Linked DNA regions of Caenorhabditis elegans. The protein of the gene in region 3 interacts with the protein of the main gene of each other region in a pairwise test. Each region holds a gene or a part of one and is shown on either strand. Other genes may lie near its edges. The genes, in order: Y71G12B.27, gldr-2 and tatn-1.

Region 1 (3,662 bases), on a different chromosome or scaffold from region 3:
GCAAACCGGCAATTTACCGGAAATGAAAATTTCCGGCAAATCGACAACCCGGCAAATTGCCGAAAATGACAATTTCCGGCAAATCGGCAAACTGGCAATTTGCCGACTTTCCGAATTTGTGGACAAAAAAAATTGCCGAACGGGAATTGCCGGCCCCTGGTGTACTCTACGTTCAAAACAAATTTGTAATTTTTGTTAACATAAAATTTGAAATAAAAATCTTTATGCTTCGTTTTTATGGCGGCCGAGATTTTTATTCTATACGGGTTTTGTTGCAAAATATTGATTTTTATGACTTCGATTTTCATTTAATATTGATTTTTGTCGAAATATCGATTTCCCAAAATATCGATTTTTTAAAAAGCAACTTTTGTAATATATCGATTTTCGGCGCTTTTTAATTGAACATACGGTATTACTAGGGCTTCCATTCCTGCGCCGGCGAGGCGCCTTCGCCGACCAGCGAGACGCCTCAGTCATGTATAGTGCGGCGCGGAACCCCGAACGTGTCGGACGCTTCCAAATAACAGCGGCGATGGCCGGCCGGCGCGAGACGCACCGCCGCTCACCCATGGAAGCCCAAAGTCTTACAAAATATCTACACTGCTTTATTCACAAATTCATAGAAAACCGCGTTCAATTTCTCATCGGTTGCTGTCGTTTGCTGTTGCGCTCTATTGAACACTTCCATATCTCTCAACAATTCCATTTTGGCACGCTCCTCGTCGGCTTTTGTGAAATGGCGCTTCCGACGGAACAAGAGAATGTGCTTCTCCGGGTTATGAACCATGTAGTGCTCCCATCCAAGTGACTGAAAAGTATGAAAAATCAATAATTCGGCCACATTCAGAAATTTAATATTGATTTTTTTTCGTCGATTTTATGACTATCGGTTTTCTTGAAATATCGATTCTATCAACATATTAATGTTTATTTAAAACAAATTTTCATTAAAGGCAAATTGCCGGAATTGAAAATTTCGGGCAAATCGGTAAGCCGGCCAATTGCCGGAATTGAAAATTTCTGGCAAATCGGCAAACCGACACATAGCCGGAATTGAAAATTTCTGGCAAATCAAAAAACCGGCAAATTGCCGAAGTTTAAAATTTCTGGAAATCGGCAAATCGGCAAACTGCCGGAATTGAAAATTTCTGGCAAATTGCCGGAATTGAAAATTTCTGGCAAGTCGGCTAACCGGCAAATTGCCGGAATTGAAAGTTCCTGGCAAATCGGCAAATCGGCACATAGCCGGAATTGAAAATGTCTGGCAAATCGGCAAACCGGCACATAGCCGGAATTGAAAATGTCTGGCAAATCGGCAAACCGGCACATAGCCGGAATTGAAAATGTCTGGCAAATCGGCAAACCGGCACATAGCCGGAATTGAAAATTTCTGGAAAATCGGCAAACCGGCAATTTGCCGAACATGAGAATTTCCGGCAAATCAGCAAACCGGCAATTAAATTATCGGGCCGGCGTAAGGCCCACATTTCGCACCTCACTCGGCTGGGAGCCTTGCTTAATTTAATAAAAAATATTTTAAAATATTGGCTTTTTCAAAATATCAATTTTGTGAATTATCGATTTTTGGAAAAATCTATTTTTTTTAATTATCGATTTTTTTCCTAAAATCTTAACATATCACTTAATTGAAAATATACCTGTTGAACTCCAGCACGTCTCCATTCAGCCTCACTAAGAAGTCTTCCCTTTGGCACTTTTCTCGAGACGGCTTGCGGAAGAATGACGTGGCGATATTCGTATTCATCATCTTCGTAACGTGGCGAATAGTAGATATCTTCCATTTTTCAAAAACTCTTATTCTTCGATGTTAATTGTACGACAAGTAGGGAATGAATGATTGTTGAGGAGTTTTGGAAATGTTGTTGGAACAATTAGGAAGAGGGGGGGGGGCAAGGTTACGTGGACAATTCTTTTTTTTTAAATTCTGAAATGTTGTATTTATTTTACAAATCACGTGGAGTATTCCGAATATCGATGTAAAAAAAATTCAACAAAAAAATCCCTGATTTTATATTTGAGCTTGAAATCGCCGAATTTCATTTGTGCCCCCGCATAATTTTTTCAAATTCGCATTGGAGCGCGCTTGCATCGTTTTATTTACTTCATTTATTTTTCAGTTTTATGAAAGAAAAAAGAATCGCTTCATATGGTTTTTCAGTACTTTTGAATTTTTGAAAAAATAGATTTTAACTAAATTTTGCAATTTTTCAAAATAATCTTCCGGTCAAGCTAGCATACTCTTTTTGATACTTTCTGGTATTTCTGATCATGCTGAACAGTAATATAAAAGAAAAAAGAAGCACTTCATATGATTTTGGCGTACTTTTGAATTTTTGAAAAATACAGCTTTTGGTCAAATTGTGCAATTTTTTAAAATATGTTCCGGATTGACTAGCATACTTTTTTTTAGTATTTTCTGGTATTTCTGATCATGCTGAACAGTATTATAAAAGAAAAAAGAAGCACTTCATATGATTTTTCAGTACTTTTGAATTTTTGAAAAATACAACTTTTGCTTTTTTTTAACAATTGAAATCGATTGGCATTATCAAATTTTTATGAAAAATGTCAAAACTCGAAACTTTGGGGGATTCTATAGAAAATACACATTACCGAATCTAAAAGCTCCCCACACTTTCATCTTTCTTCTACGAATTTTGCAGATTTCTTGATTTTTTTCCCATCTTTCCAAATTTGATTTTCGATTCCCTGTGCTGACGTGTCGTCCCCCGCAACAATTCCCAATTCCCGTCCCTCCAATAATTCGATTATTCATAACGATCATACCGCCCATCTTGTCGCTTAAAAGGAGCCCACCATCCCGTCTTTTCCGCAGATAGTCGCCTCACAATATGTGGCTGACAAATTATTTTCTTCTCGTTTTTCTTCTCTTCAGAACTATTCATGGACTCGCCGATGGATCCGAGACCACTGTCAAGGAGTTTTTGAGCAAAGTGTCAGATGAAATTGCTACTAGAGATGCTTCCCGGATTGCTACACTATTTTCCGATGGGTTCTCGTTTCAAGGATGCAAGGGAAAATATGACAAGGGTGAGTGTTTTAGGCAATTTCCTTAAGATGTTGAAAAATTGACGGGATTCTTGAATGATCTGTAAGCTCTCGCAAAGTTATAATTAAGTAGTTTCGGTGCTATTTTGAAACAATTTAACATCTCTGTTAGGGCTCCCATGAGGTCGCCGCAACGAGTCCCGCGCCGACCTCAGCGGTAGCCGCGCCGGCCTCACGGTGTCGGCGTCACTCACGCCGCATGTATCCGAATGTATAGTGCGGCACGGAACCCCGAACTTGTCGGCCGCCAACCACAGTTTCGAACTACGTTGTGCACTGCACACACCAAGCTACTCGTTTCACGCCAAGCTGCGGAACCCCGAACTTGTCGGCCGCTCCAAATAACTACCCTTCGCACTTCGTTGCATACACACATCGGTGCGCGGAGGTCGGCGTGAGGCCCGCATTTCGCGCCTCACTCTGCTGGGAGCCCTAACACGACCCGAGAAGGGGGGCCTGTACGTAATTTGTCTACCGTATACCTGGAAGTTTGGGCGGGTTTTTTTTCCTCAAAAACGGCTGGTCGAACATTTTTTGGTGCATGTAAAAAAATGTCCGATAATAAATTC
Region 2 (3,756 bases), on a different chromosome or scaffold from region 3:
CCAGAAGAGGTGGTCATATTCAGAACAATGACGTCGTCGTCGTCTTCTTCTATATCCACTCGAGCACGCTTCATCGGTACAGCTTCCTTGTCTTCATCCTCAGATGCTTCAGTTGAATTCGCTTCTTCGTACTGCTGGACAAACTGGTTCGATTCGGGACGGGCACAGTAGACTTCTGTTGGACCGTGAAGCAGCTGTTGACATTCTCCAAAGTAGGTGTCAGAGTCGAGAGATGGAGATCGGCGGTTTTCACTAAAAAAATAGCATTTCATTGAAAGACGATTAGCAGCAATTTTTGTACCTTATGGGGTTATTCAAGTAGTGTCGGAAAATTAGAAAAATTACGTCACGACTGTATTCAAGTATATAAAAACATGTATTTAAATACATTTGTGACGTCACAAATGTATTTACATACATTTTGCTATATTACTTGAATAACCCCATTACATGTATTTTATTTTATTTTAAAAAAATTAATTTCCAACGGATTTTAAAATTAAATGTTAAGTTTAGCTAGATATATATCGGTTTGCTAACATGTCAAAAATCCTAGTAACTATACTCAATATTTTGAGTCTATTTTTACTAGAATTACGCATTTTCCCGTAATTTCAGAACAACCAGCGAAAAAATCGGGAATACATGAATTTTCAGCAATTTAATCTGCGTCGCGGGTTCGCATTACAATTTTTGACAAAAATCGCAGAATTAAAGTACCCCAGGCGCATTGTAGCTTCTTCGATGAGCTTCTTCTTCGCTCCGTCCATTTCTCGCATCTTGCGAAGTTTGGGCGATGCTTCGCTCGCAACTTCTCTAACGATAACAATATCATCACTGGATGATGATCCTGGAGCATCACTGGGGTCCACTGTTTCATTCGGCACGTCTTCTTCCACGTCATCATCATCATTTTTTAAAGTTTTCTTAGGAGTAACCGTTGTGTATCCAACTCCCGCGTTTTTTAAATTTGTCAGAACACGCTTTTTAAGCTCTTTTCCGCGTGCCCTCGCTGCTGGAGTCAACTCGAATTGAGTGCACTGAAAAACTTTTTTAAATCAAAATTTCGAAATGACGTTCAAACTCTGCTGATCGACAGAAAATCAGCTGCAATTGCAGCTTTGAATTGTTCAAAAAGTGGTTGAACTTGAGGAATCAACTCTTTTACTTCTTCATCACTTGCACAATTGAGAAGTTTACTTCTGAATCCATTAGAGATGTAAAGTTTGAAAAAGTCGAGCATTGCGTAACCTGCCGACTCGTCTGCGGACCTGAAATTTAAAAAGAATTGATTTAATTGCAATAATAATATGTAAATTTACTGACTGAGCGTCTTGGCCGGTTCCTTTTGAATGCAGACAACACGCTGGAATTGTGGCGAACGATATGAATCGCTTCACGTCAGCGTTCTCCGGAGGCTCTTCACCACGTTTGTTCACTGAAATACACATATATTTATTTATTTCTTTTAATTTTGTTAGTCTTACTGGAATCCATGTCCTGAACTAACAATGGGCATCCCAATTCAGTTCCCATGAATGTGAGATTTTGAATAATTGGACGGCGTGGTAAGCTTGGCTTTTTCGACTGTGACATTTTTCGTTTTCTCGACATTTCTGAAAGAGGAAATTTGATTCTTAATGAAAATAAACGCAGAAAACCTAAAAACTAAAAGAAAATCAACGTTATTGGGAGACATGTCTAGACATGAAAGTAGAAAACCTACATATAAAAATACAATCGAAGATTCATTCAAAGATGGAACGCAGAGAACCAGAAAACCTAAAAATTGGAAGAAATGGGACCTTTCATTTGATAAAGAACGCAGAAATCCTTAAAATTGTGAGAAAAAATATGCCTACGTGAAAAATGACCGCACAGCTGGATTTAGGAAGAAAATCGGTTCTTTTATGGAAAAATAAACTCTCAATACTTCGAATGTGGGAAAATATGAGCAAAACCTAACAAATTGGGAGAAATGTGGGGGAAAAGTAATGTGGACTGAAAGCGCTAAACAACACGCGCGCCCGTTATTTCGGAGTCTCGTTTTTGGCAATTTTTCAAATTTCGAGTTTATTGACTTTTGAAGTTTGCGCTACACACAGGCAGAACTATTACGGGAACAATAAATTCTGAGAATCCGTATTAATAGCGTATTGCGCAACATATATGACGCGTAAAATATCTCGTAGTGAAAACTACAATAATTCTTTAAATGACTACTGTAGCTGATACTTTCGAAACAAATTGTTTTTAGGATTGTGGCAGGCGATGTTTAATTTTCCTCTAATTTTTCGTGTTTTTTGTCAATTCGATGCCTTTTTTATAGTTTTCATCAAAAAATTAGAAAATAAACAACGTAAAATCTGATCAGCGCTACAGTAGTTATTTAAAGAATTACTGTAGTTTTCGCTGCAAGATATACATATGTTGCGCAATACGCATTCTCAGAATTCAGTGTTTCAGTAATATAATATGGTATAGAATGCACACAAAAGCCACAAAAGAAAATAAAACGATAGATTAATGTTAAAGATTTTTTATTCATCAAAAAGTTGTTGCAGTGTCTGGTGGTTTGGGTTCAGTTTTTCAGATCATTAAAGTTGGGGTTTAGTGTACAGCGCAGCCATAAAGAAAATGAGGGAAGTTTTTTTGGAAAAAATATTTGAAATAAATATATTAGGTTGAGATGATGAGTCCGTAGGCGTCGAAGTTTACTCGTCGTCGCCAGCTGCCTTCTTGTTGTCTGGCTCTTCTCCGTTATCAGAAGCTCCACGTTTTGTCCCACGTGGTTCAGCGTCTCCTCCCTGAAAAATTGAAATTAAGAACATACGTTTCTGAAATATGAGTCCGAAAACTAACCTCTGGAGCATAATCGTCAGTCTCGTCGTCGGAGAACTGGCTCTTCTCGAGATAGCTGAGTCCGGGTCCATCTTCATCGCCGCTTCCCTCCTCGCTGTCTTCTCCTCCCTCACCGGCAAACTCCTCCTCAACTTCCTCTCCATCAACATCGCATCCATCAAGAATCTTCAGCGATGGAATCATCTCGAACATCTTCTCACGATAGTCCTCGAGGAGTCCGAGACTTGGATTATTCGACAAGTCGAGCTCGAAAAGATTTGGAAGAACCTTTAAGCACCGGAGATTATCCAAAGAGAGCTTGTTGCTGGCGAGTGTGATCTTCTTAAGATCTGGAGCATTTTTCACAAGAACATCAAACGAAGCGTTGTCTCCAAGCTGATTGTCACTGATATCCAAATAGGTAAGAGCTGGAAGAGTTGGGAACCCGGCGAGTGTGGTGAGTCCGCACTTCACCATGCTGAGCATCTCCAAGTTGATAAGCTGGTCGGTGAGTCCTCCGATTTGTCCATCTTCAGCGTTGTCGAGGAATAGAGTATCGACAGTAGCTGGATCCCTCTCTCTGAGCTCTTTGACGTAGATTTCGGCCATAGACGGCATGATTGAGGATGTAGTCTGAAGGTAGAGGCATTAAAATAAAGTTGAGATGTAAGAGACAAGAGAGAAAATTAAAAAATCGAACAGAAAATGGAGTTTCTTTCCGAATTGGAAACAAGTCGAATAAAAAAAGCTATTTAGACGGTCACAATCAGTATAAAAATGCTTAGTCCATTTAGAGTCCAGTTTCTTACATCACGCACGAATGACTCAAGAAACACGGATAAAATCAATGAAACGATGGTGCAGCAAATTTTGGAAGGCTATGTTAAAAATTCCAAGCGAATAGACTGATTCTAT
Region 3 (3,756 bases):
GGTCTAAAAAAAGATTTTTGATGACAATCACTTTACAATAACCTGAAATAATACTGTTGTATGTTTTTATTACATACTTTAAAAAAAATAACTGAATTTTACAGCATTCACATAATAATACTCGTACCAAGTTGGGGCAATTGGAAAAACACATTTTTCAATCTTAGTCTTAAAATAGTTATATTTGTGCTAACTTTATTAATGTTTAGGGGTACTACACATGAACCGTTTTTTCAGTTCAACACAATTTGATTTGAATCAAAATACTCCAAAACTGTGTACACATTTGCACCGCAAAAAATGTACCTAAAAATGTTCTTATCATGACTATTTACAAAAGATCAAAATATTTCCTGCCAGACGGTTTGCGAACATGGGTTCATTTCTGTTTCTTTTTCCGATAACACTTTCTTTTTTCATTGCGTAGAAAATTAGTTCATTTCATGAAACTAATAACAGGTACACCGATGATGTTATATTTGTATTTTAAAGAACAAGAAACCAATCATCAAAACGGACGCAAACAGTTGGGTGCCCACAGTACTGATTATTGTTTTCCCAGTCTAAAATTTTCAGCCAATTCAAGAACTGTCATGATATCGTGGCAAGAGTATGATTTTTGGCCACCGTGATCCGAATCCTGCTGCGGAAGGAGACAAGAAACCAACTACGTAAGACGGAACTTGGTCGTGGATGGATCCTTACAGTAATCCCCAGAAAGCTTGGAACGACTCTCAAAATTTTATTGTGGTGTTTTTGCATTTGTAAAACAGAAACTAAAAATCAAATACGTCCCACTTTAGCTGAGAACACTTCCCTAACTGATAGATCAAGTTACAAATGCGTGGGAATATGGGTGATCTATCAATGAGTGAACTGATAGACAATATTGTAGAAAATTTCAAATTCGATATCTGATCTCAGAGACTTTTGATATTCAGAAAATGTCATAGTTTGATTTCTAAAATACAAAACAGAACATTTAGTACACGCTGACAATAATAGATCATCGCAGTGATCTCAAAATAGAAACCACTGAGAACAGGTACTAATAGTAGACACCCAAGTGCTTACAGTACCAGGAATAACTGATTGTGTAACGCGATACAGATTTTCGGCCAGACAATGCCATCATATCATAATGACGTGGGTGTGTGTCGACTACAAATGATCTTTAAAAATACACTTCTTATCTTGATCTCGTCTATTTCTATTTTCACGATGTCTGACGCCACTTTGTTTGGTTTTTGTACTCGATATGAGATGTTCACTATACTTTTGTTCGCCAACGTCGTCGCACCGAGAGTGAGAGAGACCACCCACACAGTTGCAACACAACCAAGTTTTATCTGGCGATCGCATCTGGTCTGACGACCGACCCCATTCATCTTTCGTCATCTTTATGCGTATGTCATCATGTTTAGTCAACGTGACTATCGCGCCACGTGTATGTCGATGTATTTTTAATACCTTGTCGCCGCTGCTGGTCGGTAGGAGAAGAGAGAGATAGATGACAGGCCAAGCGGAGAGAATAACGAGAAGACGACGATGAATAGAGACAAGGACAAGATGATACGATACGCAGAGCGTGCTTGCTGGGAAATGAGAAGAAAGCGTGGGAACCTGTATGGTGCGACTGGCTAGACGCAGGGGTGACAGTAATCACCACGCGACGAATTGACTCCTCCTTCAATTAGCGATCAGTCGCGTGCGGCATCGAAACATTATCAGTGGGGGGCGGGGTTCCAATTCGTACGTTCACAGATATAAAAGTTGGCTCGTTTCCCACTGTTCCAGCATATTTCCAAACACACTTTCTACAGCTCTAAACATACGGACTACATACATTTCTTAATCAATTATGACTTCTTGCCCTAGTTCCGCTTTCTTTTAATCTTTTGATATCGTTTGACTTTTTTATGACTACTCTTGATTTTTATAGCAGCACAAATCACACAAATCATCATAATTTGCTCTTTTTCAGATAAAAAAAAAGCGTTGCTTCAACTGGTCTAGGAACAGAATACAAATCAAAATGCAAACTCTAATGAGTCACAGCCGTATTACCCCACTTCCGGGAGCCATCACCAAGGAAGAAATCAAGAACCAGCTTTTGGTGCACGAGCGTCGCTTCTTGAGCAAGGTAATTACATGTTTTGGCTCGCAATTGAGTAGGCGTGCTTTTAATTTTACCCTGTAGACTTTCGTGTATAAATATTCCACCCAACTCCCCCAAAACTTCATTCACTATCATGTCTTATTATTTATATTTACAGCCAAACCGCAAGGATCAGTGGAACGTTCTCCCACAATCAGCTCACTCCAAGAACACCGTCAACCCAGTCCGCAAAATTGCTGATGCTTGCGCCGTACCTCCACACCCAGAAAAGAAAGTCATCAAGCTTCACCTTGGAGACCCATCAGTAGGGGGAAAACTTCCACCAAGTGAGATCGCAGTTCAAGCGATGCACGAATCTGTCAGCAGCCACATGTTCGATGGATATGGACCAGCAGTTGGAGCTCTTGCCGCCAGAGAAGCGATTGTTGAGCGATATTCCAGTGCCGACAATGTGTTTACAGCCGATGATGTCGTTCTTGCCTCCGGATGCTCACATGCTCTTCAGATGGCTATTGAAGCCGTTGCAAACGCTGGAGAGAACATTCTCGTCCCACACCCAGGATTCCCACTTTACTCTACACTCTGCCGTCCGCACAACATTGTTGATAAACCATACAAGATTGACATGACTGGAGAGGATGTCAGAATCGACTTGTCTTACATGGCCACCATCATTGACGACAACACCAAAGCGATCATTGTAAACAACCCTGGAAACCCAACTGGTGGAGTCTTCACCAAGGAACATCTCGAAGAGATTCTCGCATTCGCCCACCAATACAAGCTTATCATCATTGCTGACGAAATCTACGGAGATTTGGTATACAACGGAGCTACCTTCTACCCACTTGCCTCCCTCAGCCCAAAGGTCCCAATCATCACTTGCGATGGTATTGCCAAGAGATGGATGGTACCCGGATGGCGCCTTGGATGGTTGATCATTCACAACCATTTCGGTGTGCTCACTGACGTTAAGAATGGAATTGTCGCCCTCTCACAAAAGATTGTCGGGCCATGCTCGCTAGTACAAGGAGCTCTTCCAAAGATCCTTCGTGAAACTCCAGAAGATTACTTCGTCTACACCAGAAACGTTATTGAGACAAATGCCAACATTGTTGATAGCATCTTGGCTGATGTTCCAGGAATGCGAGTTGTCAAGCCAAAAGGAGCCATGTACATGATGGTCAACATCTCCAGAACAGCCTATGGATCTGATGTCAGCTTCTGCCAAAACTTGATCAGAGTAAGTTCGAACAATCAAATTGTGGAAAACTCAAACTAATTCTGTTATTTTTTTCAGGAAGAATCAGTGTTCTGCCTACCAGGACAAGCTTTCTCCGCCCCTGGATACTTCCGAGTTGTGCTCACTTGCGGAAGCGAGGATATGGAAGAAGCCGCACTGAGAATTCGAGAATTCTGCTACCGCAACTTCAATCAACACTCTGATTCCGAAGACAGCTCCGATGAAGGACTTGACTTGAGCGCGATGGAGTCGGATTAGATTAGTTAGATCAACCCACCAACATACACTTCTAGTCAACAAAAAAGAGAAGCTGTGCTTCGTAATTTATGTGCTAAATCTAAACCCAATCCCGCGATTGCCTCGGTAATTGATTATTAATTACCACATTACCAAC

The links.
Region 1: the proteins of tatn-1 (region 3) and Y71G12B.27 interact in a two-hybrid assay, tested with the Caenorhabditis elegans proteins (one large-scale study listed by BioGRID).
Region 2: the proteins of tatn-1 (region 3) and gldr-2 interact in a two-hybrid assay, tested with the Caenorhabditis elegans proteins (one large-scale study listed by BioGRID).

Annotation. Positions count from the first base shown.
Region 1 is NC_003279.8:1,796,841-1,800,502, forward strand, and holds Y71G12B.27 (Cyclin-dependent kinases regulatory subunit), read right to left. Parts: upstream 1,883-3,662; 5' UTR 1,806-1,882; coding exon 1,662-1,805; intron 812-1,661; coding exon 599-811; 3' UTR 595-598; downstream 1-594. Other genes in the region: Y71G12B.5 (Apolipophorin), read left to right, coding at 2,877-3,075.
Region 2 is NC_003279.8:15,034,235-15,037,990, reverse strand, and holds the start of gldr-2 (PAP-associated domain-containing protein), read right to left. Parts: upstream 1,983-3,756; 5' UTR 1,727-1,982; intron 1,623-1,726; exon of another isoform or gene 1,617-1,622; 5' UTR 1,615-1,616; coding exon 1,488-1,614; intron 1,439-1,487; coding exon 1,327-1,438; intron 1,272-1,326; coding exon 1,085-1,271; intron 1,041-1,084; coding exon 721-1,040; intron 253-720; coding exon 1-252. Other genes in the region: F33H2.3 (Acidic leucine-rich nuclear phosphoprotein 32-related protein 1), read right to left, coding at 2,715-2,807, 2,863-3,459.
Region 3 is NC_003284.9:14,789,024-14,792,779, forward strand, and holds the start of tatn-1 (Tyrosine aminotransferase), read left to right. Parts: upstream 1-1,984; 5' UTR 1,985-2,035; coding exon 2,036-2,143; intron 2,144-2,276; coding exon 2,277-3,362; intron 3,363-3,419; coding exon 3,420-3,620; 3' UTR 3,621-3,756. UniProt on the Caenorhabditis elegans protein: Transaminase involved in tyrosine breakdown. Converts tyrosine to p-hydroxyphenylpyruvate. Has no transaminase activity towards phenylalanine.